Rattus norvegicus: one gene and its partners. The protein of the gene in region 5 interacts with the protein of the main gene of each other region in a biochemical or structural test. Links are inferred from orthologs where the notes say so. Each region holds a gene or a part of one and is shown on either strand. Other genes may lie near its edges.

Region 1 (4,035 bases), on a different chromosome or scaffold from region 5:
ATCTAATTTAAATTCCCTCTAGACCAGCGGTTCACGACCCCTTGGGAGATTTGAATGACTCTTTCATGGGGACTGCCTAAGACCATCTGCATATCAGAGATTTACTTTATGATTCATAACAGCAGCAAAATTACAGCTATGAAGTAGTAACAAATTTTTATGGCTGGGGGTCACCACAACATGAGGAACTATATTAAGGGGGCAGCATTAGGAAGTTTGAGAACCGCTGCTCTAGCCTGTCAGTCATTTGAGAAACATTTTCCTAGGTAGTGGGTATTAGGCTAAAGGAACATGGAGAGGGCCCTCTGGTACTCCAACTGAATATGGGGTTAAAACACAGCGCATATAGGAGCAGGGGGTAGTGGAGCACACCTTTAATACCAACACTTAGGAGGCCAAGGCAGGCTTGTGAGTTTGAGGCCTTCGTAGCCTACATAGTAAGTTCCAGCTTAGCTGAAGCTACACAGTGAGACAGTGCCTTGAAAAAACAAAGAAAACCTAGTATACATATGGCCGGAGCAGCAGGGTCAGGGGAGGAAGGCACTTGCTGCCTGCTCTAACCACCTGAGTTTCATTCCCTGGACCTGCCTAGTAGAAGGAGACACTAATTCCTGCAAGTTGTTCTCTGGCCTCCACACAAATATTCTGTCATGCTGGAACCCACACATCATCATCTCTCTCACACACACACACACACACACACACACACACACACTCTAAAAATAGCACATACATAGAACTGTTGTTAAAGAAAGGGAGAGGGGGGCTGGAGAGATGGCTCAGAGCACTGGCTGCTCTTCCAGAGGTCCTGAGTTCAATTCCCAGCAACCACATCTGTAATGAGATCTGATGCCCTCTTCTGGTGTGTCTGAAGACAGCGACTGTGTACTTGTCATATACATAAAATAAATCAATCTTTAAAAAAAAAAAAAGAAAGAAAGAAAGGGAGAGGGGAAGGAAATCCAGAAAAGGACAAAGCTAATCCAGATTAAGAAAGGCTTTTTGGAAGTCAGAGCTTCAACCAGACCTTGAAAGTTGAATGGAACGAATTCACAGAGATTAAAGACGACGACCCCATCACCAGTCCATGGGGCAAAACTGAGAGCTCTTTTAGGTAGAATAGCAGTTTTCAATTTGTAGACCTCAACCCCTTTGGGGGTGGCATATCAGATATTTACACTATGATTCCTAACAGTAGCAAAATTAACAGTTATGAAATAGCAACCACTGAGGTAAAATGATTTCCACAATCAAAGACACAACAAGGAGAAAAAAACCTAAAGCAAACAGGAAGTAATAATTATTAACAGAACGTGGAATACCTGTATCACAAGCACAGATAAAACATATAACATACAACAAGACTGAGACAAAAGATTAAAGAATCAGGCTATGTCAGAGAGAATACCGAATGGGAAACTAAAAATACTGGCTTTACTCTGTAAGACTCTGAATAACCAGGGTTCGGGTATGATACTGAGTATCTACCTCAGCTTTAATACATTTTAGAAGAATTCACCTCACTACGATTTCATTAAACAGAAGATGGGTAACAAAATTCTGTAAATATAGATCAATTGGCTTACTATGATGCTGGTCGTAGGGGAGAGGAAGAAGTCTAGGCTGGGGGGCGTGTATCTATGTGGAAGAGCACTTGTGCCAGTCTCTGGCTCTGATACCCATCACTTGAACCACCACCACACATACACACCCAGCACCTGAACGAACCTCACCCCATTCTCAAGCATGCAACCAATTAGGGCCTGAACTGTGGAAGTGATGATAATGAAGAGAATATGGGAGGCAACTCCATCGGAAATTACTTCCAAACCCATTTTCTTTCTTTCTTTCTCCTTCTTCCCCTAAACACCACGGAGTGGTAAAGGATTCGAGATTGTCTACTCCAATGGGTGCTGTGCTAAATCCCCAAGACTCCTCACAGCTTCCCAGTTGTCCACTTCTGCTACGACCCTCAATGCTATTTGGGGCTCTTTCTAAGGCAGTAGCTCTCTCGGAGGTTACCCAGTTTCCACATCACCACACCTGACCTCACCACAGAAACCCTCAGTGAACTCCAAACGACTGCTCTACCCAGTACAATGACTCATAGGATGCCACTAGAGCCCTAGCCTGACTCAAGCCCTCTTATCAACAAGAAATTGTGTTTTTTGGTCCAAAGGAACTTTGGAATAGAAATTTTGTAAGGAGCCCATACAGAATTGGAGGGTTACACAGACTAACTGCACACAGGCACACACTCAATTACACACTCTTGGAGCAGGATATGCCTATTGGGCCACCGGGGCTCCGGTCTTAAACACACATTCTTTCCTAGTCCGGTCGTGAACTGGGAGCCCACCCAGGCTTGGGCCTAGCATGGACTCTGCACAACCTGGACCGCCATCGCTCCCCACGGGGGCTCCCAGAACGTGGAGGGACAGGGCAGAGCTGGGTCCAGGAGTGTCACAGCAAGGAACCTCGGTAGAAATGCAGAAGTCGGGAAAAGGGTTCCCGCAAGGATGCAGTGCCAGTCGGAGATAAGGATGATGTGCCGGCACGGGAGGGGAGGGCCATCCTAAGGGAAAACGCCTGGCCCGACCTGTGACGGAACCCGGGGAGGGACAGGCGCGCAGGGGGCGTCACGCGCGGGCAGACGACGGAGATGCGCATCGAAGGTGTGCTCACCTTCTTCACAGCAGACTGGAAGTGAAAGTCACCGGCCTCCTTCAGGTCCAGCCAGATCATGGGCATCCGGGGCACGGCCTCCATTGCGGACAGCGCTTAGCCGCCCCAGGGCCGCTCCCCTCCCAGGTCCAGCAGCGGCCTCAGCCGCGCGCGCAACCCCGCCCCTCCACGCCGGAAGCTGCTCGTCACGCGGAATGACGCAGCCTCCACAAGGCCTGCTGGGAGGTGCAGTCCAGCCCCCCCCCGGTAGTCCTTTGCACATGCGCTGTCCTCTTTGCGCATGCTCAGTCTTCTCGCGCGAAGGGTCTTGGGTGAAGGGAAGAGCCAATCCACGGTGAAGGGGCTTCTGGGAATAGTGATCTCCTCCACTAAGCTCTAGGCTTCGCTGGCATTTTCTGTTTTGCGTAAAGCTGTTCTTCCTCTTGGAAGGGTCCTTCAGAAACTTACCCATGAATTTGTAATTCCAGATTTTCAGAGCGGCGAAGGACGGTGACAGGTGCTGCATTAGCGAATGGCGAGTGTGATGCTGGGGAGAGGGGACGTGAAGACAGCCTTGAGCCATGCAAACTGTATGGTGGGGTAGAACCCAGGCTAAGAGTGTCAAAGATTCGGGTTGGGGATTTAGCTCAGTGATAGAGCGCTTGCCTAGGAAGCGCAAGGCCCTGGGTTCGATCCCCAGCTCCGAAAAAAAAAAAAAGTGTCAAAGATTCATCTGTCAGCGGTGAGGGGGCAGGGACACTGCTCCACACCACCACCTTCTGCGGCCTGAGTTCGTGATTTTTAGTAGGGTACATTTAGCAGCTAAGGTAACACCTAAGAAGGCTGTGACTCTGGAAGGAACTATACAGTGACAAGTATTCGTCTCTGCAGACATCTGTAAAACAGGAATTTTAAAGCTATGTGTATGTTGCTAAATTTTAGACATAAATAATGGAGTCGTTCGTGCTATGTGGCTCCTATGATCCCAACACCCTAGAGACTGAGGGAAGAGACTTAGGTCATTTCAAGGCTGAACTGGGCTACGTAACAATACGTTATTTCAAACAAATTTTAAAGACGGGAGAAAGTAGTATGTGGCCTTTTGTAGTCTTTTAGGAGACCGGTGATTGTGGCTTTGCATGAAAGGGTTCTTTGTTGTTATTGTTGTTTTATTTTTCTTTTTTTCGGAGCTGGGGACCGAACCCAGGGCCTTGCACTTGCTAGGCAAGCGCTCTACCACTGAGCTAAATCCCCAACCCCCCCCCCCTTTTTTTTAAAGTGGGTAGATAGCTCACTTTGAGCAACATCTGAGAACTATTTTGAAAACGAAAGTATCCTAAGTTGTGGTGGGTATGTGTTAGGGAATGAGAT
Region 2 (4,053 bases), on a different chromosome or scaffold from region 5:
AGGAATACATTTCTTTGTCAGCTTGCTCCTGAAGTTCCTTGGAGGACAGCTTGCCAGTAACAGCAATCTCTTCTTGTCTCACAGTGTGGGCTGAGTGTGCAGCAGTGGATGGACCACCTTCTGCTTTGCCTTTTAAGATCTCTATGGTAATTCTGTCACCATGCTGCAAAGGAACTGGCTCCTTTTCCATTCCTGCTTGGGGTGGCATTAACTCTTTAGGAGGAAAACCATATCGAATACACTGTAAATATGGAGGAATGTTGAACTCTCTGGCTATACTTTCCTGAAGTTCAAAAAAGGTTGTTGAAGACTTAAGGGTAACCATGGACTGCCGTCCATCATTAGTTGTTATGCGAATCTTCTTCTCCTTAGAAGTGGTAGGTGAGTAGGGAGCCTTCGTGGGGGTGGCAGGTGCAGATGAAGGCCCATCACGAATAGTACTTGGAGAAACAGTTCTGGGTTGCCCCTTTTGCTCTTGTTTTAATTTCTCTGTTTTCCGTTTCTGCATCACAGAAGCTTGTTCTGTGATGTTCTGTTGAATAGTTCTTTCAGTTTTACTCATGTTTAATTCTTCCTTGTGCAAAGTTTTTGTTTTCTGTCCAGTAAGAATAATTTTAGTTGGTAGCTGAGACTCCAATTCTTGTCCTTGCACATCTCCAATTCTCTGAGCATGAGCACCATCTATATTTACAGGAGTGTAATCGTCAGGATTTTTTTTTGCAGTCTGATGCAATATAGTGTGGACAACTTTCTGAACTAGGATCTCACTCCCAAATTCACCTGGAAAGTGCTTGGTAACAAGTTTCATTGCAACATCATAAACATTACTATTCAAAGATGGATCACTTTCATACTGGAACCAATATACTGTTTCTCTGACTACTCTTCCTCCCCACTCCAAAGTGATAGGAAAAGCTTCTGGAAGGTTGTCATATTCTTTACCTTCCCAAAAGTGTTTGAATCCACAACCACATTTGCCACCAGTAGACCTAGAATTAGTTCTGTCTCCATCCAAATATACAATAGAGCCATCGCCTCTGACTCTTCGCACAGATGTGCCATGGCACCAATTACAAGCTGTTAGATTACTCAATCCATAGTCTGGTAACAGAACATCTTTCACTGGATCATATGAACAAACCAAATTGTTTAAAGGAAAGCTGTAATTTTTGTCAGGCCTCAGCTGTCCATGAGTACTTTTTGCCAGGTTATACAGTTTTCCTCCTGGAGCCAACCACTCAGGAGGGACATGAAGTTCAGAAAGGGCACCACAAAGCAAACACTTGTGAAGGCGATTATCCATTACTGCTTTTTTAGCAGCTGCTGTAACTTCCTCAGGCTGAACTCCTATCACCCCAGTCCTTCTGTAGAAATACTGATGTACATCAGCAACCAAACTAGGATGGATACCATGTTTGTCCATAAAGACTTCCTCCATAGCAGCAACCAACCTAAGTAAGTACTTATCCTGCAAACTTCTGTCTCCTCCAATAACACAACCACCATCCTCCTCAAGCTTGATGTACTTTTTAATAAGGTCCTGAGGCACACCCCATGCTTTAGGTAGCAAATTCATGGGTAGTTTGGGCAAGGCAGCCCCCTTTATGCCTACCAAGGGAATATAATGGTTTCTACCAGAGCTACTCCACGCAATACAGATTGGCTTGTTCAAATGACCATCTCTCCCAGTGCACTTCTCTGCAGGTATGAGCCCAGGTAGAAAGGTGGCTGAATAATCACCAGAGCTTCTCATGCCACTGAGGGAATCTAAGAGAATTATGGGACGATGTAACACATTGGCAAGGCCAAATATGTGGATATTCCTCAGGCCTAAGGGGACACCTTCAGGTGGCACAAACAGAGGGTCACATTCATTGATAATGTCCTCCCACTCTGCAGCATCAATAAAGTCATGAAACAGGGCTTGATATCGGGCTAGGTGCTGCTGAAAGTGCTGCTTCAGATTCTCCCTCAGGGCATGCCAGAAGAGCTCTCGGCCTACTAGAGCCCTAGACACAGCATGCACTAGGCAGTGTCCATCCCCATCCACATGCACTGGAATAAGGCATTCTTGACTTTTATTGGCCCGTTTGATATCCTCGAGAGTGTCATGCAAATATAGGAGGCTTCCAGATCGGTCCTTGCCATAGCCCACTGTGTTGACGTGCTCTGGTTCGATGAGGAAGGCCCGGTCACCGAGTAACGCGCAATCGAACAGTTCGCCTTGGTTCATGTCCCGGAGAAGCTTGGCGCGGCCCGTTTGTTTGTCCATTCCATAGCGTGCCAATATGGGCGACAATAATTTGCAGTGGTAGTTGGAGAGGCCCATCACCTTTACCAGTTCCGTGTTCTTCTTGGGAGCCCCCGTCACCCCGAGTAGCGCGTTCCGCAGCAGATTGTGCAGCACTACGTCCGGGTCGGTCACCTCCTCCACTCCCAGCAGCTGTTGCTGCTCGTGCCGCTGTCCGCACTCGGTACACTCGATGCTGACAGAACCTGAGGCCGGGAAGAAGAGCCGCGCCTGGCACTTGGGATCCGGGCAGCTCCCGGAAAGGATTCTCCGGTCCCTTCGTTTCGAAAGGCCCCCCGGAGTAGCCGCCGCCGCCAGGGACGACGAAGTCTGCGGAGCCTCGGGGGGAGGCGGCGGCGGCGGCAGCGGAGGAGGCGGCGGCGGCTGAGACATCGCTCTCGGCTCTCGCTCTGCGTCCCAAGCGACCCTCAAAGGCACATAGCCAGACCTCCGCCGGCCCGACGAGGTCTAGTCCAGGCCCAGAGCGAATGGCTTTCCTTTCCCTACCAGTTCCTCCTCCTCCTAGGCGAAGGCGGAAGCGCCGGACGTTGTTTCTCTTCTCACTTCTCCACAGCCTTAGCCGTTGCCCCGAACGTAACGGCCACCACCCCACCCCGCACTCACACTCACTCACTCTCGCTCTCTCCCTCAGATACAGACATACACGCCCTCACTGAGACTGCGCAGGCGTGGCTTCCGCACTGCCCTCTGGGAACGAGAGTCTTCCGGCTCCCCTCTCGCGAAGGAGTGTTAGGCGCTTCTGTCCACAAAGAACTTCAAATACCGTGATGCAAAGCAACTCGACGCACGCGGGAAGGAGGAAGAGGAAGGCACTCGGAAGGTGGGGGCAGAAAGGAAGTCGATGACTCGCGGGGATTGTCGGTAGTTGTATTTTTAACTGGATCCCTTTTGTAGTTTGCTCCCCCCTCCCCGGTCCCCCATTCTATGGCCCAGGAGAAAGAGTCAGAGAAACCGCATTTCCTAGGATGCTATGGGTAGTGTCCCGCCGTACTTTCCCCTTGCGCCGAAAGGAGTGTGCTTGGAGGAAAGAAAAGTGAAAAGGAATGGCGTGGAAGAGGGTCTAAAGTCCACCACCGCTGCTTGTCCGGGTTAAAGGTCCTAAGAAAGTGGGAGAGGGAGTTTTCTATGAGGCTTTTTTTTTTTTTTTAGTATATTTATTGTTCAAATACGGTATCATTTTTGTATTACCACTTAGCTAGCAAGTGCTATAACTGAGCTTCTACCTTATTCGTAATTTAATCCACATTTACATTCGTAAATGTACTCCACTGCTCTAATGTGAGAGAAAGTTAACAAGAAGTGAGCAACAACTGGTGGTCAGTGGCAAAATCTGGCTGTTTTGGTTGGATCACAAGAAATTTAAATTTATTATATTGTTGTTGTTGTCGTTAAACATGTGTTTGAACAGTGAACAACAGTTCCTAAGAAGTTAGATTTTTAAGGTTTTAACATCAAAACACCTTGAGACAAATTACCTTCTTGAGTCCAGAAAACATTTGTGTTTCTATATCATTCAGTAAATGGATCAGCAATTGAGCCCAGGCAGACCTCAAACTCCCTATAGTGGAGGATGACCTTCAATTTTCTGTCCTCTGCCTCCACCTCCCAAATGTCAAAGTCAGAGGTGCATACCACCACGCCTAGGAAATGCAGTGCTAAGGGCTGAACATGGGGCTTCGTGCATGATGGGCAAGCTAACTGAGATATAACCCCAGTTTGCATAATATGTAGGAGCTTTTCAA
Region 3 (4,300 bases), on a different chromosome or scaffold from region 5:
TGCTGAGCCATCCCTCCAGCCTCTGGAAGTTTCTTTAGTTTCTTCAGATCACTCAGTTCAGTTTTAGAAGTGCACAAATTCCTGATTGAGACACAGATAATATTCCGGATATTATCTGTGTGTTTGTTTTATATTTACATTTACAAGATTTTAAATTTACTAAGTTTTTATAGATGGATGCCTTGACTGTATGCATGTATGTATATCACGCATCTGGGATTATGGATGGTTGTGAATCATCACAGGAATGAATATGGGGCCTCTGCAAGAACAAGTGCTCTTAAGCCCTAAGCCAACTCTCCAGCCCCTAGATACAGACACACACACACACACACACACAGTTTTTCAAAACAGGATTTCTCTCTGTGGCCCTAGGTGTGCTGGAACTTGCTTTGTAGACCAGGCTGGCATGAAATTGAGAGATCTCCCTGCCTCTGCCTTTCAAACGGTGGTATTAAAGTGTGCACCACAGCCATGATATTTTTTGCATTAGTTTTTCTTATGAAACTAATTTTCTTTGTTCGGGACATCTTCCTGTGGCCTTCTAGGCAGGTCACGCTGGAAGAGACTGGTCTAGTAGCCCTTTTTATGTCTCTCCAACTCCATTTTTGGAAGTACCTGGCATACTTGACAGAGTGACAAGAGGAAGTTAGGCTAGTGACACGGTGCTCAGCGCTGAGTACTTGAAAAATTATTTGCTCAATAAATAAGCAAAATGAATATATGAGAAAGACTGGGGTTGACCTGGAAAGGTGAGTCTCTGTTGCAAAACGCAATTTGGTCAACAAATATTTGCGTACTGTGTCCTTGCCTTGTGGCTCTCCCTCAAAATACATGGTAAACAAAACAGCAACCGGCCTTGGGCAAGGAGTTTCTACACCCACTTCTTAGCTGCATGATTCTATTCTACTGTTTTGTTTTTTTATCTATTGATTTTGAGGATTATATTCTAGCCTAAGGAATCGATTTAGACCCGCTAATCCCAAATGTTAAGACTCCTGATGTTTGGATCCAAGCTACCCCCTACCCCTCATGCTAAACTTTCTAGTGTTGGCTGGGGTCCTTGGATGGAGATCCTTCAAAGGAATGGATCGCACATCCACCAGAGGGTGCTGTGAGGGCAGGTCTGTGGCTGGAGGGGAGCTCGCCCAATGACCCTCAAACCCAGGTAGGCTTATTAGTTGGTTTTCTTTCTTGGTGTTTCCTCCCTACCCGCTAAAACCGTCGATGCCCCTCCCCCCACGAAGGGTTTCGTTTTGAATATAGTGATTCGACTTTCGCCGCGACTCCAGCAGTGCTTGGTTCCAGAGGAAGTCTGGCCTCTGTCGCAGACGTCCCGCGGCTGGAGGCCGCCGGTCCTCCGACCGGCCCGGAGCGCAGGCGGTGGGTGGGTGGGGACCTCCGGGGCCGCAGCCAGCCGCCGCGCCGCAGGGGCCGCGAAGGGGTTAACCCGGCGGGGGGGGAGGGGGCGCGGGCCGCGCGTGCGCTCTGCCTCCCTCCATTGTCTCCACGGCGGCGAGGAGCGCCGGCGAGCGCAGCCCGGGACCGAGCGGGGCGGCGCGGCTGGCTGGCGGGGCCGGCGGCGGCTGGAGCCGGAGCGCGACACCACGCGACCGCGGCTTCCAGAGCTCCGCCTGGCTGCCCCACCGCCGCGAGCCCTCCCGAAGCCTGGAGGAGTGCGGGCCGCCGGCGCCGGTCGTCGAGTCCTGAGACGGGGAACGCGCGCGTCGTTCCGAGCCTTCGCCGCTTCCTGCTGCGGGCGGGCGAGCGGCCTCCTCCGGCGCCTCCCTATCTTCGCTGCGGCTCCTCAGGCTCCCGAGCCCGGGGGCGGCCTGTGGCGCGAGGCGCCCGCTCTGGACCGCGCGTCTTCGGACCTTAAGAAGAACATGCATTCGGCTTGGACAGTTTGAAATTCTTAGTTTGGGGTCCCCGCACGCTTGCCTTTTCCACCCCGCGGATTTTTTTTTTTTTTTTTTTGAGGATTTTCCCTTCTCCTTTTTTCATTTTCTCTCCTCGGGGCTCTTTTGTGACTCCCCCAACCCCCCGCCTTTATGTTCGCCCGGCTCTCCACCCGCTTCTGAGTGGTGGGGGAGGGTCTCGGCCTCCACGTTCCCGCCCCACCGGGCCCCGGCGAACATGGGGGGCAAGCAGAGCACGGCGGCCCGGTCTCGGGGCCCCTTCCCGGGGGTCTCTACCGATGACAGCGCCGTGCCGCCGCCGGGAGGGGCGCCCCACTTTGGGCACTACCGGACGGGCGGCGGGGCGATGGGGCTGCGCAGTCGCTCGGTCAGCTCGGTGGCAGGCATGGGCATGGACCCCAGCACGACCGGAGGGGTGCCCTTTAGCCTCTACACCCCCGCCTCCCGCGGGACCGGCGACTCAGAGAGGGCGCCGGGCGGCGGAGGGTCCACGTCGGACTCCACCTATGCCCACGGCAATGGTTACCAAGAGACCGGCGGCGGTCACCATAGAGACGGGATGCTGTACCTGGGCTCCCGAGCCTCGCTGGCGGATGCTCTACCTCTGCACATCGCACCCAGGTGGTTCAGCTCGCACAGTGGTGAGTCCTCGGGTTGACGGAGGCCTTGAAGGGTGGAGTGCAAGGGAGGGCGCGTCGGGCCGCCTGAAACCTCTTAGTATGCTAAGGTATGGGTATGAAGCTAACTCCTGCCCTACCCCTGGTTCCCTCCATGTCAGAGGATGAATAGGATCAAATAAGATAACTACTGCCTAGGGGAAAAGCTGCCTACCAGGCTTGTGGAGCCGGGTGTTTTAGGACTGCAGGCGTGTGCTCACTTGTGGATGGCTGAGTGAAACCTGCCCATCGAGGTCGCATTTATTAGCATCATGATCCTCAAAGGTCTTCTTGTCTGACACTCTTCATTTCTGCCACTGCAGCATGATGCCTACCTTTCTGGCTAGGGAGGTAGTGTCTCCTAAACAAAGAGTGAGAAAAGAAATAAAACTAGGGACAAACGATCCTTGGATTAGGGTTCTTAGCCTTGCTAGGGAAGGGAGATGGTTAGTTTTTCCACCCGACTGGTTTGCTGTATCAATTGATTTAAATGGAACAGGAGGTGGCTTAGACAGGTGTGGTCTGCTATGTGGAAAGCCTCCTTCTTTGGGTTTGCAGGGCCAGGATTCTGGTCTCTCTTGCTGCATGCAGTAGATTTGGCTCAGGGACTGTCACATCCCTCCATCTTTTTTCTCCTGCTAAGTGCTTGCTCTTCCCGTGATTCTGCATCTTTTTTTTTTTCCCCCATAGAGCACAGGAAAGGTGGGGTGTTATGGCCCAGCAGTTGGCACATGACTGGGGAAGAGGAAGATTGAAAGGATCTAGATGAACTCATTCTGTGCACTTCTGGTGACAGGCCAGGAAAAGGCTGGAGGGGGATTTCCCAGGCCCTGACTGGTAGGGCAAAAAAAAAAAAAAAAAAAAAAAAAAAAAAAGGCCTGGCAGAGACTTCTAGAGGAAAACAGGTCTGTCTGCTTGGCTGTCCTGAGAGGCCAGGGCAGGCGCTGAAAAATTGGTCAAAAGGGGTGTGAGGTTGCTTTTTGCTTTTTGTTAATTAATTACTAGTTCAAGTGAAACAGTTAAGTTTTCAGACTCCTTTGCCTGAGTTGGGACATTTTAGATACTGTGCAGGAGAAAGCTTTCTCCTGCCCTTAGGGTACATTATGGAAGGTTTACCTGTGAGACTAATGTTGTTGTAGCTAATTTCAAAACAAGGTAGATTTTTTTTTTGTTTGTCTTTTGGGTTTTTTTTTTAATCTTTCCTTCTTTCTTTTGGTGAATTCCATAATCTTAAATTTTTGAAGTAACTTTGGTGGGTTATACTGGCTAGTTTAGAGCCTCTCTGATGTTAATTAAACTGTGGGAGGTCAGATACAAGGCATGTCTGCCTTTGGTACCCTTTAGGCATTCGGTATGCGTTAGGCATGTTGGGATTAATCTTCTCTAAATAGTTGAGTCCAGAAGGCTCAGCTGTATTTGTGAGACTTTTGTGATTGCATTCGTAAGTGGACTATTATTGGTCTGCTTTTAAAACAATTTTGAGTGTAGCAAACTAACTTTATAAAGGCTTGTATGGGGGAGGGAGAAAAAGAGTTGTCTTTCTGGTAAGATTTCTTTTTTTTTTTTTTTTTTTTTTCTCGGAGCTGGGGACCGAACCCAGGGCCTTGCGCTCTGGTAAGATTTCTTAAGTCTGACTCTTAATAGAAACTTCTTCCTTGTTCTATCGTTAGGTTCCTTAGCGCCCCCCCCCCCCACACACACACTCTCATCCAGTCATGGGGGTAG
Region 4 (3,500 bases), on a different chromosome or scaffold from region 5:
GGGTCTCATGGACTCTGCTCAGGCTGGTCTTGAATTTGCTATGTAGGCAAGAATAAATCTGAACTCTGGCCCTCCTGCCTCCGTCTCCAACGGCTGAGTTCACCCTCACAAATGGTTTCATACAGTGCTGGGACCTGAGTCCAGGCCACTACCCTATTAACCAAACTTACCTCAATTCTACTCTGAGACTGGGAAGGCTATACAACCGCTCAGAAAGCCTGGTCCTTTCACCTCCCAGTGTCCAGCAGTGTGACGACTGGCTCTCCTAAATCCTAGATTTCACGCAAGTGTGTGCTTTTTTCATCTGAGTGGGCCACCACTTAGCACACTACACACAAAACAGCCTGACTAAGTTAGGGATAACTAACAAATCCACGGACCATGCCTGTCTTTCTGTATTCCCGCTCCACCTACTCATCCAAATATATTACATGCCCAGAGCGTGATTGGGCTATGTGAACAAGTTCATGATGCTTGTAAGATACTGTCATCAACATAGCAAGAGGTAGTGACTTGATCAAACCACATAATACATGACACGGACGCATGCATGCACGCACACATGCACACAAGCACACCATGTGCACAGGGAACCTTGTTGTTCCTCAACAGCAGAGTCTTGTAGGCTGGCCGTGGACCCTCACTGGCCAGCATGAACTTGGACTCTGGACTCCTCCATGTCCTAGAGGCTGAGGTGACCTTATGTGCCAGCGTTCCCCACTCAGTCCATGGTTTTAGCTGACTTAAATACATGGTTGAAGAAGGTAGAGGGGATCCTGGAGCCCTTTCACAGTTGCGTGACTGTAATTTCTTAGAATTCCCTAACTGCTGTAGAAGAGTCCCAGGAAGGCCCGAGAGTGTTCTACATAAAGGTTCCTTGCACCACTGACCTGTTGCTCTCAGGCTCAGGCTGGGCTGAAACAAGGTGGTTATTTATGATCCTTGCTGCAAAGGGACTCGCGACTTCAGAAATATGTGGTCTTGGAACACTTTCCTTCACCGGGGAGAAGCTTGGACTTGAAACACTTGTCTGATACACTATCTCATGATTAATCTGTTGGAGAAAAAAATGGATCTTAGAGGAACTAATATTCTTTTTTTTAAATTTTTTTTTTATTATTTTTATTTATTTGAATACACACTAGCTGTCCTCAGACACACCATAAGAAGGCATCGGATCCCATTACAGATGGTTGTGAGCCACCATGTGGTTGCTGGGAATTGAACTCAGGACCTCTGATAGAGCAGTCGGAGCTCTTAACCACTGAGCCATCTCTCCAGCCCCCAGGAACTAATATTCTTAACGTAACACTTGCCAAACATAAGATACATACAATCTATTTTCCTTTTAGCCCAGAAAATACTGAAAATTAACCTAGGTATGTGGGTTCTCTTGTTAATTCAGGTGGTCGAATGGAGCAGTAAGCTGACGGAGCCTGCACCTGAGGGCAGCAGAGTTTCACAGCTTAACAACTGCACATGGCACACGACCCACTTTGTGTTTGCATGTGTGGACTCACGCTGCGGAAGAGAGAGGCCAATGCTACCCTACCTCCCTTCCCCATTCACTCTCCACCTCACGTTTTGAGATAGGGTCTCGCTGAACCGGTCACTTGCCCATTCGGATAGAACAGCGGCTACAACTTCTGGAATATATCTGTCTGTCTCGGCCTTCCGAGTACTGGGATTGCAAACGTTAACTGTAAGCATGGGGCACTAGGGTCTCAGTCTCGGCTCCTCACGTGTGCGTCAGTCATATGCACTTTTGCCAACTGAGCCTTGTCTCCTGCCTCCAATATCGCATTAAGAGGATGGATACAACAAACACACTCGACAGCCCACGAGTGGCCTACAAAGGCGAAACTGACTTGCTACACTGTGACTCTAAAATACACACAACTCAGAAGAGAAACAATTTCTGAGAAATTGGAATAAAAGTGAAGATAATACATAGCACCTTCAAAAACAAAAAGTAATCCCATTACTTTCTCCTACAGACCCTATTCTCACCTGTAACACTACACTAAAAAGCACTGTGAGGCAATTTTAAGTAAGCCTATATATATATCCCCATGCAGAACAAAACTTCCTGCCCAAGAAATAGTCACACTCCGCCAGAGTCCTACCACAGCCTAGGGCTAAGCAAATAAGCAAAACCCACACGGCTCTCTAATGACAAGAGTCTTTTAAATTCCAGCTACCTGTATACAGATGGGGAGAGCAAAGTCAGCCTCCTAGCTGACTCTTTTTTTTTTTTTTTTCTGAGCTGGGGACCGAACCCAGGGCCTTGCGCTTTCTAGGAAAGCGCTCTACCACTGAGCTAAATCCCCAACCCCAGGACCATACTCTTAAAGAAAGTAACCCACAGGACTGAGAGTAGTTCTCTCCACTGTCCTAGACCTCTGGTCCTAACAGTCAGTCCTGCACTCAGGGGAAGAGTGACAGACACGTCCCACTCATGGTTGTTCACTCCACAGACATGTAATGTCTTCATTTCAGTGAGTGTGAGTTCTGATAAGATTCCTAAAGAGCTGTCTTACCTCAGCAATACCCCGACAAATGTCAACTCAACAGCCTACGAAGCTGTCGGGCTAGGAACACTCAGGGAAAAGAGCATTACCAAAGTTAAGTAAATTCCTTTCCATTCAGTATCAGGTAAATCAAGTACTTCTAAAAATTAAGACAGATATAAAATGAAGATTCATTACCCGAGGGAGTATTCGAGGGAGCATTTCCGGTTGTCTGATCCTGAATTTCTCCTTGCTGCTTTAAAAGAACGACAAAAAGAAGCACCCTGATATACCTGCTTTTATCATGTCACACCCTGTTTTTAAACGTTTACAATTAAGTAGCTTCAGTTCCATTATGGTCACTGTGAGCATTTAGATTATGGAGTAGCCCCACCTTACAATCTCCGTAAGACCCAATGCCTGCCTGAGCCAAAGCCCATGAAGACTGCCTGAGCCAAGGGCAGTGAAGACTTTCATTACTTCCAAAGCCGCAGCCAAACTTAAGTAAATGCAACACGAGTGGCAGGGTTACAGCTAAGTCAGCGAGGTGCCTGCTGAGCAGACGTGAGGACCAAGTTCAGATGCCTTAGAATCTAAGGAAAAGTTGGGCACAACAACAAAGTGAGCCCAGCACCGTGAGGAGCTCTGGTATTCAATGGCTGGCCAGCAAAGTTCAAACTCGTTAGGTGGAAACCCTGCCTCAAAAAATAAGACCAGGGCAAGCCAGGTGCAGTGGTCCTCACCTTTAATCCCGGTACTTGGGAGGCAGAGGCAGGAGGATTTCTGTGAATTTGAGGAGAAGCCTGGTCTACAAAAAAGCAAATTCTAGGCCAGCTGGGGCTACAGAGTAAATCATCTGCACCTCCCCCCCACACACACACACACTCTGGGGGTGGGGGGGCCCAAATGAGGAAGAGAGTGACAGTGACCCCTGGACTCCACGTACACACACATACATGTAACACACACAAACACAAAACATAGAACTAC
Region 5 (4,254 bases):
TTGCCTTGACATTTTCAATGGTGTCACTGGGCTCGACCTCCAGGGTGATGGTCTTGCCTGTCAGGGTCTTCACAAAGATCTGCATGCCCCCTCTGAGGCGAAGGACCAGGTGCAAGGTGGACTCCTTCTGGATGTTGTAGTCTGACAGGGTGCGGCCATCTTCCAGCTGCTTGCCTGCAAAGATCAGCCTCTGCTGGTCAGGGGGGATGCCCTCCTTGTCCTGGATCTTTGCCTTGACATTTTCAATGGTGTCACTGGGCTCGACCTCCAGGGTGATGGTCTTGCCTGTCAGGGTCTTCACAAAGATCTGCATGCCCCCTCTGAGGCGAAGGACCAGGTGCAGGGTGGACTCCTTCTGGATGTTGTAATCTGACAGGGTGCGGCCATCTTCCAGCTGCTTGCCTGCAAAGATCAGCCTCTGCTGGTCAGGGGGGATGCCCTCCTTGTCCTGGATCTTTGCCTTGACATTTTCAATGGTGTCACTGGGCTCGACCTCCAGGGTGATGGTCTTGCCTGTCAGGGTCTTCACAAAGATCTGCATGCCCCCTCTGAGGCGAAGGACCAGGTGCAGGGTGGACTCCTTCTGGATGTTGTAGTCTGACAGGGTGCGGCCATCTTCCAGCTGCTTGCCTGCAAAGATCAGCCTCTGCTGGTCAGGGGGGATGCCCTCCTTGTCCTGGATCTTTGCCTTGACATTTTCAATGGTGTCACTGGGCTCGACCTCCAGGGTGATGGTCTTGCCTGTCAGGGTCTTCACAAAGATCTGCATGCCCCCTCTGAGGCGAAGGACCAGGTGCAAGGTGGACTCCTTCTGGATGTTGTAGTCTGACAGGGTGCGGCCATCTTCCAGCTGCTTGCCTGCAAAGATCAGCCTCTGCTGGTCAGGGGGGATGCCCTCCTTGTCCTGGATCTTTGCCTTGACATTTTCAATGGTGTCACTGGGCTCGACCTCCAGGGTGATGGTCTTACCAGTTAAGGTTTTCACAAAGATCTGCATTGTCTATGGAAAAAAAAACAAAAAACAAAAAACCAAAAAACAGGTCAGGAATGACACAAATTCTTTAGAGTGCCACCAACCGTTGGATCTGTGAGGTGGCTAGTAGTTTAGTCTAAATAGCTACACAGACTGTTTTGAATTTTACCCCCTAAAACCAACAAGAAAATAAAAGTCTTGATGGAACAAAGTTATGAATATTAGGCATTGTCTATTACCAAGTTGGCAGGGTGGAGCGTTCAGTACGGAACTGCTGAAAGTCAGTCCCTGACTATTTGCAGTTTGGAGAAAAGCCTGACCCACATTTCACCTTGGGGGAGGGGGGTTTAGGAGGACCCACTCCAAAGAAGTCAGAAACTCAAGAGCTTAGAAGGCAATAGTTGGAAATCCCGGATTCAGGTCCCGACTGGTAGATAGAGCCAGTTACTACTACAAAACTGAACTATGTTCATATCTTTCCTCCCAGCACTGGGGACACTGAGGTGGGCAGATTTCGTGAATTGGGAGGTCAGCCTGAGACAGTGAGATCCTGCCTCAACTCTCCTTCCCCCAAGCTTTTGTCTGAACAATTAAACAGTAGTTTACTCTTACTCTTATCCTCTTAACCTCTTACTTTCACCCCATCTGTCCCTTCTCTCCCCATTCTCCTCCCTGCTCTCTCTCCACATGTTCCGACCAGCTTTACTCCCTCCTCAACTCCCCTTCCCATGCCCTGAATAAACTCTATTAAAAAAAAAAGTAGTCTGGGGTAAGTGGCACTGGCCTTGGACCTCATCACATGGGTGGTAGAGGCAGAGATTTTTTTAAAGTTTAAAACCCTTGTCAGGCTGGTAAGATGACTCAGTGATTAATAGCACTGACTGCTCTTCCAGAGGTCCCGAGTTCAATTCCCGGCAACCATATGGTGGCTAACAACCATTTGTAATGAGATCTGATCACACCTCTTCTGGTGTGTCTGAAGAAATAAATCTTTTTTTTTTTTGGTTCTTTTTTTCCGGAGCTGGGGACCGAACCCAGGGCCTTGCGCTTCCTAGGCAAGCGCTCTACCACTGAGCTAAATCCCCAACCCCTGAAGAAATAAATCTTAAAAAAAAAAACACCCTTGTCTAATAAATAGTTTCCGCAGCCATATCCGTGTAGCGAGACAAGGAAAGACTCAATGTAAGTCAGGCTCACGTTCCCCCTCTGAATTTCCGGTTCCTGTTTACTCTGGAGAGGCTACCCGAGGCCGAGACCCAAACCCGGTCCTACAACTGAGGGAAAGCTAAAGCCATCGTCACTATACACTGTGAGACCACACAAACCGCGACGTCACAGGGGCGATAGGCTAGGCTGGACCGCCACCCTCCCCCTCCCTTCCCAATCGCACTCCTGTATTTAGCAACCGACGAATTCCGGATAACCGACATCTCCCTCCCGTCTAATACCCACAGTTCTCACATCAGAGGCTCCTACAGCGCGCCAACCGAATTCAGTTCCCAACCCAAGCCTCTGACGTTCCCGGCTTAACCGGCGGCAAGCGGCCTCGCGGGCCTGCTTCCCCCAACCTGGTCCAGCGCGTCAGGACCGCGCGTCTTCCCCCTCAGGCTTCCATTTGGCCGCCATCTTGCCGCCCGGTCCTCGGCCTCAGGACAGCAGCCGTCCTCGCGGGCCACGGAAACCAAACGTCCGGGCCGCGGGCTGTCTCTCGCCCCCTCCCGCCTCCCCGCCCCCGCCGGGTGTGGCGGCTTTCTCCTCACCAGCGGTGTTGGCTGCAGTCCTCACAAAAGAGTAGAGACGGAACTGGCGGTCTCCACGGAACTAGCTGCGGGACGCGAGGCGTCTCTTTATATAGTCATCGGGAGCCCCGCCCACCCCTGGATTCCTCCGCGGAAATGCGGTTGGGGACTACTTTTTAATGCCCGGTCCAATCTCTGCAATGGAAGCGACAGGCTAAAACCATTAAGATCGCTTCATGGGGTTGTTCCACTGCGAAGGCCAGAGAGTGAGGGGCTTTGTGTGGAGGGGCAGGACTGCGACCTTGCGCGACCCCGCGGAGGGATCAGCGCCTGTGACGTGATCGGCGCTAAAACCCGGCAGGGATCACTGCAGCCGGAGCGGACCTCGGCGCAGGCGCACTGTGGCTAAGCGAGCCGGAGACCCACCAACTACCCCCCACCCCCTCCGTCAAGGGTCCCAGTCGCCTCTTTCTGTTAGGGGGACCTAGGGCTTTGGCTCTTGTTACACTGATATTCCATTGGTGGCCTCGGCTCCTAAGTTCCCTCACCTCGAGTCGGTCGTCACTGTGCCCAGCCCTCTTTGTTTTGGCACGGTGACAGGATGGATGACTGTGCAAATCTCATAACAAGGGAAATGACAACGGTTTTTTTTATTTTTTATAAAAAAAATGGGGGGGGGGGGGATCTCTCCCCAGTTTGGGAAAACGAATCTGAATTCGTCAAGAAAAGCAGTCAGTCCTCACAGTTCTTGAAAACTGTTGGCATTAGATCTGAAGCCCAGTGGGCACTAGATCTTTCCAGATTCTTCCTAAGTCTGTTTATGTCTGGTGTCCTTGGATTCGAGAAGGTTCTGTTTTCTGTTCGATTGTCACTAAGGAAAGGTCAAAATATCAAAATGTTGTTCATATTCTGAGACTGAACCCATCGAAATCCTATTTTTTTAATTTTTGTTGTTCAGACAGGGTTTCTCTGTATAGCCCTGGCTGTCCTGGAATAGGCTTCGTAGACCGGGCTGGTCTCAAGTTTACAGAGATCCTTCTGCCTCTGCCTCTAAGTGCTGGTCTACAGGGCTACACAGTGAAACCTCGTCTTGAAAAAAACCAAAACCAAACAAAAACCCACACACACACACAAAAAGTACACGTTTAGTACAATGTTCAGATTACAGCAAACATATACCCCACTTGTAAAATTCAGCCTATTCAGGTTTTTGAAATGTAAGGCCTGAGACCTTAGAAGGTAAGAATTGAATCCCTAGGGTAGAGAGATGGCTCAGCAGTAAGAGCAGGTCTTCTTCCAGAGTTCAATACTGAGCAACCCTGTCAGGCAGCTAGCTTACAAAGGCCTTTGACTCCAAAGCTTCTCAAGGCTTCAAGGAGGTCCAATGTCCCTAGGGGCACTCACATACATGTAGCATGCACACACACAGACACACACACTATTAAATGCCTTTAATCTCAACCTTTTTCTTTTTTGAGATTTTTTTTTGAGACAGGGTCTCCATATGTAGTAGCCCTGGCTACCTTGGGACTCATGACATAG
Region 6 (3,500 bases), on a different chromosome or scaffold from region 5:
TCTTGTAACCCCTTCTACATACTGTAACTAATGCTGGCAGTGTTTCACTACACACCAGAACTTGCTGTGTTCTTCTCTAGCAGTTAGTGTTTATTTCCACAAACTATTCACAGATGTCACAAGGTTAAATTACTTGCTAACAGGGTCATAAAGCTAGTTAAGATGCAAAATGAGGGCTGAAAACCAGCTCTCGGTCACTTTTTTATAATGTCTCTTATAAAAGGTAAATAAATGTGTCTACATCTACTAAAAAACTGAATTAAAAGACTTTCTTTTAAGACTTCACAAAAATTCAATATTATTTATGTGGGTGTGCATGCACACATTCACAAGGGCTCCTGTGTGTGTGCGTGTGTGCATGTTTGTGTGTGTGTTTGTATTTTTAAGCACATACAAGTATTTGGAACCTGCAGTCTTTATGCATGGTACATTTTGTACACAGATCTACAAGCTGTGATCTGAAATTCCTTAGGACTATGTGTGTTTAGGGATTCCTGGTCTATGGGGTACTGAAGTGGTAACCATTTCAAACTTCCCCAAGTCCCCTTCAAGATCACACTCACTTCCTTTAGGTTGTCCTGTGGAGCCCTGGTTTGTTGTTATTTTCCCCAGCCTATATAACTTGAAAAGAATCTCAGTGGTAGGCTTTAACTAATTTAACTTTTGATTTCTTTTGTGTCTTACACTCATGTTTATTCAGAAAAACACTTGGAGCCCTAGCATTAACAAGTCTGGGAGTTCAAGCCTCAGTATCATAAAAATGAGTAAATACATTAATATGTATTTACCGCCAGAGACTGATTTGGTGCGAAGCCCATGTACCTGTATTTTCTTTTTTAAAGAGTGCCGTATAGAATATAAGTAAAACTACATATCATCTACATATAGGCCAGTATTCTAATCAAACATAAGTCTTTTGACAGAAAATTTAGGAAGACTATGAGTATAGAATATAAATAGGCTAATATAAATATGAATCTAATTAATTTAGATTTTAATTTTTAATTTTAATAACCAGTTCTGAAAGCCTGGGGTGTAAAAGGCTGTGGCTGAACTTCAGCTGTCTTTTCCTTTACTCCTGTCTGTTCATACATCCCTCCCTTCTGAAGACAGGAGCAAACAGATAACGGATCGCAAAGCTGTGTTAGAGCCTATACCTCAGGGTGTTAAGCAGTCGCCTTGGCTGTGTCGCAAGTTCATCTGTATATTTTTCTGGATTTAAGAGAAAACTAGCTTGAAGCTGTTCAACTGAGATTATTAAGGACTGTAAACTGCATATAAGCTCATAACTTGCCAAAGGATCTTCTTTGCAGCTTCCCTATCAAGAAAAAAAACCACAATTTAATTTATAAACATTAAATAAGTGCTTCTTTCCTTCTTGGTCTCACTGAACAATATAGCTTTTCTAAATTAAATTTCAGTACAGCAAAAATTCTATTAATCATGCAAGTCAACTTTTTCCCTTCAGTTTTTTTCTTAGTTGCTTTCTTCATAGACAGTGATTTTCTAATCAGTTTTCTTTTAACTTATTTACTTGCAATTAAGGCTGGGGGTATGACTCAGTGGTAGTTTCACTTGCATATGTAAGACCATAAATTCAGTCTCCAAAAACCATTAATGTCAATTACCATAGAGTGGATAATAACCTGGTACTCAAGTGAGACACTTGTGATTATGAGGGGCAAGTGACAAGTCTAATTAGCAATGCATGAAACACTATACCAGGCTATGAATAATCTGGACAATATACAGTTCTGAAAAACTTAACAGAAATAATCTGTCACCATTGTCCTGAACAATCCTGAGTCTCTATCACTTTTTTATTTAACAGTTAAACATAATCCCTCCCATTAATTTGTTGTTGCATGTGTGTGGGGGTGTGGGAGTTGTCGAGACAGGGTTTCAATGTGTGGTCCTATCTAGCCAAGAAATCACTATGGAGACAAACCAGGCTTAGCTGCCTCCCAAGTGCTGGGATTAAATGTGTGCTTCACTGTGGCCTCTCTCTAGCTGATTTTGTTTCTTAAATCATCATCTTTTTACCTTATCCTTCTGAATAGAGTCATCCTTCAGAGCTTCTTTCTTCCTTGAAATAATATTAAATAAGTGCTTCACTCCAGCCTTGAAGCCAGGACAAAAGTACAACACCTACAGAAAGGATGTTGTTTTAGTACTGTGCAAACAACACACCTAAAATCACTAATGCCTTCTGTAGGGCACATTTAATGTTATTACCTAAAACTGACACTAAGACCCTCTTCAAACCCTCTACCTCACCAGTAGTAACCCATTGATCGCTCAGCAGCACTTAGCTCTGAACCTATACATTATTAGTCAGATTAAGATTAACAGGACAAAAACTAACAAAATAATGAAAGTTTTTAAGTTGACATAGTACCAGTAATCTTTGAGTATTATCATGGTCTATTCTGGTTGATTTACAGTTTATAACAAAGTATGGACAAAGTCATTTAATAATCTAGAACTTTCAAAAACATTAAACATTACATCATAATACCTGAAGAATACTATTCAGATAACAAGTGTTGCCAAGGTTATTCAGTCCCACAAACGGTAACAAGTTTTCTCTCTTCTCACAGCTTACTGGTGAGGACTGTGCAGCAGGAACAACTTGATCACTGTGAATATAGAGGGAAGAAAAAGTATGAAGATGTAGCACCTTAAAGTGGAAATACTGCTTCCCTAAACTTAACATTTCTACAATAGGCAGATGACCACTGAGCTATATACCCAACCCTGAACAATTATTGGTGAACACACATGGGACAACATCCACTTTTAGTTACCCAATAGACTGTCCATTTGCTGAACAAAGAGCTACCACAGACTCCAGCTAGGGCAATTTGGAATATTCACTTTTATTCTCTTTTAATGTAAAAACCATTTTGTTGTAATGAATTCACAAGTAAAAACATCATGCAGCTAGATTAAAGTAGCCACTCAAACAAGCCCTTGTCCAGTCCTATAGGACAGCCATTCTGAAGCCATGGAGTTCCGCTTAGAGCTTTATACATCTACTATCAATACATTTTTGTGCACTTAAACACCATAAAAAGGGGGTATGTGGGATTAGACTAGAAAAACAATTAGCTCTGTATCCTCTCCTGTGACCGGATGCACTTGTACTTCATGTGCATTCCTTCCCTCCTTCCCTTTCTTCTTAATGACTAAAGCATTTACATGCATTTAAAAAAAATCATCTTTAAAATCTAATTTCAAAATAAATTGGCAAATGTCCTATCTCTAGCAGATAGAAGTAGTTCTGGGGTGTAACAGGAAGTTTTACACACACTACACTGCAAAAATATCAAGCAGTGTTTACCCTGTTCCTACTATACACTTTGTTTTTGGTTTATTCTTTTTTTCCAAGATAAGATTTCTCTGTGTAGCTCTGGCTCTCCTGGAACTCAATCTGTAGACCAGGCTGGGGCCTGTCTCCCAGGTGCTGGGATGAAAGGCAGGAGCCACCACCACTGAGT
Region 7 (3,500 bases), on a different chromosome or scaffold from region 5:
AGACAGCTCCTGGTAAAGTAGGAGATTTTAGCGTTCGATGATTTACCACCAATAACCGTGATCTCTATGCATCATGTACCTGCTTTGCTCATTACCACAAGAGGAAAATTAGTAGAATATTCTTTTTTTTCTTTTTCTTTTTTTTTCTTTTTTTCGGAGCTGGGGACCGAACCAAGGGCCTTGCACTCGCTAGGCAAGCGCTCTACCACTGAGCTAAATCCCCAACCCCAAATTAGTAGAATATTGATGGAAGATTATTTCACGTCAGTGGTCTTCTGCTGTCTACCCCAGTTGGCATGCCACTGTCGTTGTTTAGGGTTCCTGTTGCTGTAATAAAACACTACCAACAAGAGTAACCTGGGCAGGAAAGGGTTTATTTTATCCAAACATTTCCAGTTCACCACTGAGGGAATTCAGGGAAGGGACTCAAGGCAGGAACCTGTAGGCAGGAGCTGATGCAAAGGCCATGAAGTGCTGCTGAGTGGCTTGTTTTGCCCTGACTTGTTCAGACTCCTTTCTTAGAGCACCCAGGGATATCAGCCCAGGGGTGGCATCACCTACAAGGACTGGGCCTTCCAACACCAGTCACTACAGAACGCACTACAGACTTGCCTGCACTCGGTCTTTCTTTACTGTTGTATTGTTTTTTGAGATGGAGTCTCACTATGTAGCTCTGGCTAAGTGTAAACTCTAGCTTGTGTCAAGTTGACCTAAAACTAGCCAGCACAGCTATCTTCCTTTGAGTAAGATTGTAAGAGGATGCTGTGGAAGGGGTAATTTTTTCAAAGCAGAATGTCTGATAATTCTTACTTTAGGGATAGGCTTTGTATTGTATTCTATAAACCAATGAAACAGTCTCAGGGCATGCTAAAAATCAGTTGTGCAGTACATGCCCAAGAGTGGAAACTAGAACCAGTGGGAAGGTGTAAAATGGGTTAATCAACAGGTGTGTGCATTGTACTGTCTCTGAATTGAGGAGTACCTAGAAGACTCCTAACTGTTTCTTCTGGGTGTATCTCTGAGGATGTTTTCAGAATAACTGATGGGTGCGTTGGCAAACAGAATGAAGAAGATGTGCATTCAGCGTGGGCAAGTAGTGTCCAGTGTCGCTAGTACTATAGGTGGACCAGGAAAGCCGAAGCAGTGGCAGAATCACTTTGGCTCCTCCTTCTGGATGGGGCTTTCTTTCCCTGCAGCTGCTCCCTGGGTGCAGCTGCTCCCTGGGTTATACTCCAGGATGTCTGACTTTTGGATGCTGGAACTCTGATAATCCCTACCAGAAATTTTGAGCCTTTGACCTCACACTGGGATATCTGATTTTGCCAAACTGGTTCTGGCACTTTCAACTTTCACTACTGGTTTCTCTGTGTCTCAGGCTATCAAGAACTTTTCATTTGTATCATTATGTGATCTATTCCCGTATGATTCGTGATATTTAATAAGGTTTTCTATATCTTTCTGTCTGTCTGTCTCTGTGTGTGTGTGTACATACACACACACGCCTGTGTGTGGTGTTTTCTTATCTTGCCCTCAGTCCTGTTACTGGAGGACCCTGACCAGTAAAGAATTTAGGAAACAAGACTCAATACATTACAATACAATACAAGCCATTGACTAAAGAATCTGAGTTTCAGTGGGAGAGAGGAAGCATGGCATTATGCTATAAAATTATTCAGCTTGTTCGGGTAAAAACTGTAATGTAATGAAACAGTTGGAGGTTGTGAATATATATTTTATATTATTTATTACTTTTTTCTTTCCATTAGTTGTGTTCAGAGATATCAATGATAAGGGTCTTTCAACCGCTCACCCTTTGTTTTTCTCCCTAAAGGTGTTAGGATGTTCACAATTGCTAGTTAATGAGAAATGCTTGTTAGAGCCTAAGCACTGACTCATTCGGGTTGTCCCTCTCCAATAGGCATGGACAGAGTCCAGTGTTCTAGTGACAGAGAATTAGCTCACCAGCTTCAGCAAGAAGAAGAGAGAAAGAGGAAATCTGAAGAATCAAGACAAGAAAGGGAAGAGTTTCAGAAATTGCAGGTACAAAGATTAGTAACAGTTTTATTGAGTAGAGTTCTTATAAGTATCGTTGTCAGATGTCTAACAAGGTTTAGAAATAATGGCTCTGCCATTAAAAGCTAAGATTCACAGTCAAAAAGACTTGTACTAGTCTGTCCATGTTTTGTAAAAAATATTTTTGTGTACCTTATAGTGTATTGGGGGAAAAACATTTAAAAGTAGTTATTTTTTGAAGCTGGAGAGATGGCTCAGTGGTTAAGACTGCTGTGGCCTAGGACCTGAGCTCATTTTCTAGCCCCTACTTCAGGCATCTTTTAACTGCTTGGAATTTAGCTCCAGGCAGCCCCATTCTTACTTGTCACCTGTCGCGCCCACCTCGGCCAAGGCCAAGGACGGTCTGATTCTTCTCAATAGCCTTTATTGCAGGACCACCTCTTTGCTGATACAGGGACCTCGAGCGGCAAAAGCGCTCGCCTTATATACACAACAGGCTGGGGCTATGCTAATTGTCTTTCAGGGATTGGCGGAGCACGAATCACCCCACTATCACCCCTGCTACTTGTCCTCCAGGGATTGGCGGAGAATGAATCACCTCACTAGCATGGCACCGCCCCCTCATTAGCATATTACCGGCCAACTGACGCCAGGTGCAAAACCTGCGCATGCGCAGTACTGTTGTTCATCACTGGAGGGCGCCCTACAGTTACCCACACAGCCACATGCTCATGCATGTATGTACACACACACACACACACACACACACACACACACACACACACACACACACACACACACACCCTTGTGCACAGTAAAAATAAAAAAATAAAGCGGTGCCCCATGCCTTTAATCCTAGCACTAGAGAGACAGAGGAAGATGAATCTCTTGAGTTTGAGACGAACCTGGGGCACATTACAAAGAAACAAAAAAACCCTAAAACAGTGTTCAGACATTAGAATAATCATTTCAGATAAATTATGTAAAAGTCTTTATAGGAAATTCACAGGGTTTTGTTGTTTGTTTTTCCTTATTTTCTGTCTTTAAATGAAGAAGAAAAATGAAAGTGTTTCGTGATTTTTCCCTGGATTAGACAACTGTTAGGTAGAGAAGTGTGCCTGTCAGGCTATGCAATGGTGAAGCTGTGCAAATGTCGGCTGACATGAAGGTGGGGCGCTATACTGAGAAGCTGTTTCCTTAAAGGTCGTGTGTCTCTCTCTCCTTAGTCCTAAGTGCCTTTAAAGAACACAGTGAAGACATTTTGTATTTTAGTGGATGTTCAGAGTTTAGTAGTTTATGATTTTTGAGGGCGCATTTTCCTTATGTGAATGTAGTATCTATTGGACTAAAGTTGCAGCATGTGGGGGATTTTAATGCTTTAAAAATGTTAATGTTTCTCCCTTTCCATTTCTAATTTGTGAACTACAGTTATTTGTACTGACAATACTTGTAGAGTTCTTTTTTTTTTTTGGTTCTTTTTTTCGGAG

Evidence for each region.
Region 1: the proteins of Ubc (region 5) and Ptpn23 form a complex in vitro, tested with the Homo sapiens proteins (2 studies listed by BioGRID). The link is inferred for Rattus norvegicus from reciprocal best matches to the Homo sapiens genes UBC and PTPN23.
Region 2: of the proteins of Ubc (region 5) and Vcpip1, one has a biochemical effect on the other in vitro, tested with the Homo sapiens proteins (3 studies listed by BioGRID, with this or other methods). The link is inferred for Rattus norvegicus from reciprocal best matches to the Homo sapiens genes UBC and VCPIP1.
Region 3: of the proteins of Ubc (region 5) and Znrf1, one has a biochemical effect on the other in vitro, tested with the Homo sapiens proteins (2 studies listed by BioGRID). The link is inferred for Rattus norvegicus from reciprocal best matches to the Homo sapiens genes UBC and ZNRF1.
Region 4: the proteins of Ubc (region 5) and Morc3 form a complex in vitro, tested with the Homo sapiens proteins (2 studies listed by BioGRID). The link is inferred for Rattus norvegicus from reciprocal best matches to the Homo sapiens genes UBC and MORC3.
Region 6: of the proteins of Ubc (region 5) and Usp1, one has a biochemical effect on the other in vitro, tested with the Homo sapiens proteins (4 studies listed by BioGRID, with this or other methods). The link is inferred for Rattus norvegicus from reciprocal best matches to the Homo sapiens genes UBC and USP1.
Region 7: of the proteins of Ubc (region 5) and Zup1, one has a biochemical effect on the other in vitro, tested with the Homo sapiens proteins (4 studies listed by BioGRID, with this or other methods). The link is inferred for Rattus norvegicus from reciprocal best matches to the Homo sapiens genes UBC and ZUP1.

Annotation. Positions count from the first base shown.
Region 1 is NC_086026.1:119,258,876-119,262,910, forward strand, and holds the start of Ptpn23 (tyrosine-protein phosphatase non-receptor type 23), read right to left. Parts: upstream 2,801-4,035; 5' UTR 2,770-2,800; coding exon 2,686-2,769; intron 1-2,685. UniProt on the Homo sapiens protein: Plays a role in sorting of endocytic ubiquitinated cargos into multivesicular bodies (MVBs) via its interaction with the ESCRT-I complex (endosomal sorting complex required for transport I), and possibly also other ESCRT complexes.
Region 2 is NC_086023.1:14,315,830-14,319,882, reverse strand, and holds the start of Vcpip1 (deubiquitinating protein VCPIP1), read right to left. Parts: upstream 2,801-4,053; 5' UTR 2,684-2,800; coding exon 1-2,683. UniProt on the Homo sapiens protein: Deubiquitinating enzyme involved in DNA repair and reassembly of the Golgi apparatus and the endoplasmic reticulum following mitosis. Necessary for VCP-mediated reassembly of Golgi stacks after mitosis.
Region 3 is NC_086037.1:56,404,228-56,408,527, forward strand, and holds the start of Znrf1 (E3 ubiquitin-protein ligase ZNRF1), read left to right. Parts: upstream 1-1,500; 5' UTR 1,501-2,136; coding exon 2,137-2,560; intron 2,561-4,125; exon of another isoform or gene 4,126-4,300. UniProt on the Homo sapiens protein: E3 ubiquitin-protein ligase that plays a role in different processes including cell differentiation, receptor recycling or regulation of inflammation. Mediates the ubiquitination of AKT1 and GLUL, thereby playing a role in neuron cells differentiation.
Region 4 is NC_086029.1:46,652,692-46,656,191, reverse strand, and holds part of Morc3 (MORC family CW-type zinc finger protein 3), read right to left. Parts: intron 2,764-3,500; coding exon 2,709-2,763; intron 1,055-2,708; coding exon 891-1,054; intron 1-890.
Region 5 is NC_086030.1:36,899,046-36,903,299, reverse strand, and holds the start of Ubc (polyubiquitin-C), read right to left. Parts: upstream 2,801-4,254; 5' UTR 2,734-2,800; exon of another isoform or gene 2,171-2,733; intron 1,001-2,170; 5' UTR 998-1,000; coding exon 1-997.
Region 6 is NC_086023.1:118,706,056-118,709,555, reverse strand, and holds part of Usp1 (ubiquitin carboxyl-terminal hydrolase 1), read right to left. Parts: intron 2,640-3,500; coding exon 2,519-2,639; intron 2,149-2,518; coding exon 2,044-2,148; intron 1,319-2,043; coding exon 1,158-1,318; intron 1-1,157. UniProt on the Homo sapiens protein: Negative regulator of DNA damage repair which specifically deubiquitinates monoubiquitinated FANCD2. Also involved in PCNA-mediated translesion synthesis (TLS) by deubiquitinating monoubiquitinated PCNA.
Region 7 is NC_086038.1:31,348,024-31,351,523, reverse strand, and holds part of Zup1 (zinc finger-containing ubiquitin peptidase 1), read left to right. Parts: exon of another isoform or gene 1-1,918; coding exon 1,919-2,040; intron 2,041-3,500. UniProt on the Homo sapiens protein: Deubiquitinase with endodeubiquitinase activity that specifically interacts with and cleaves 'Lys-63'-linked long polyubiquitin chains. Shows only weak activity against 'Lys-11' and 'Lys-48'-linked chains.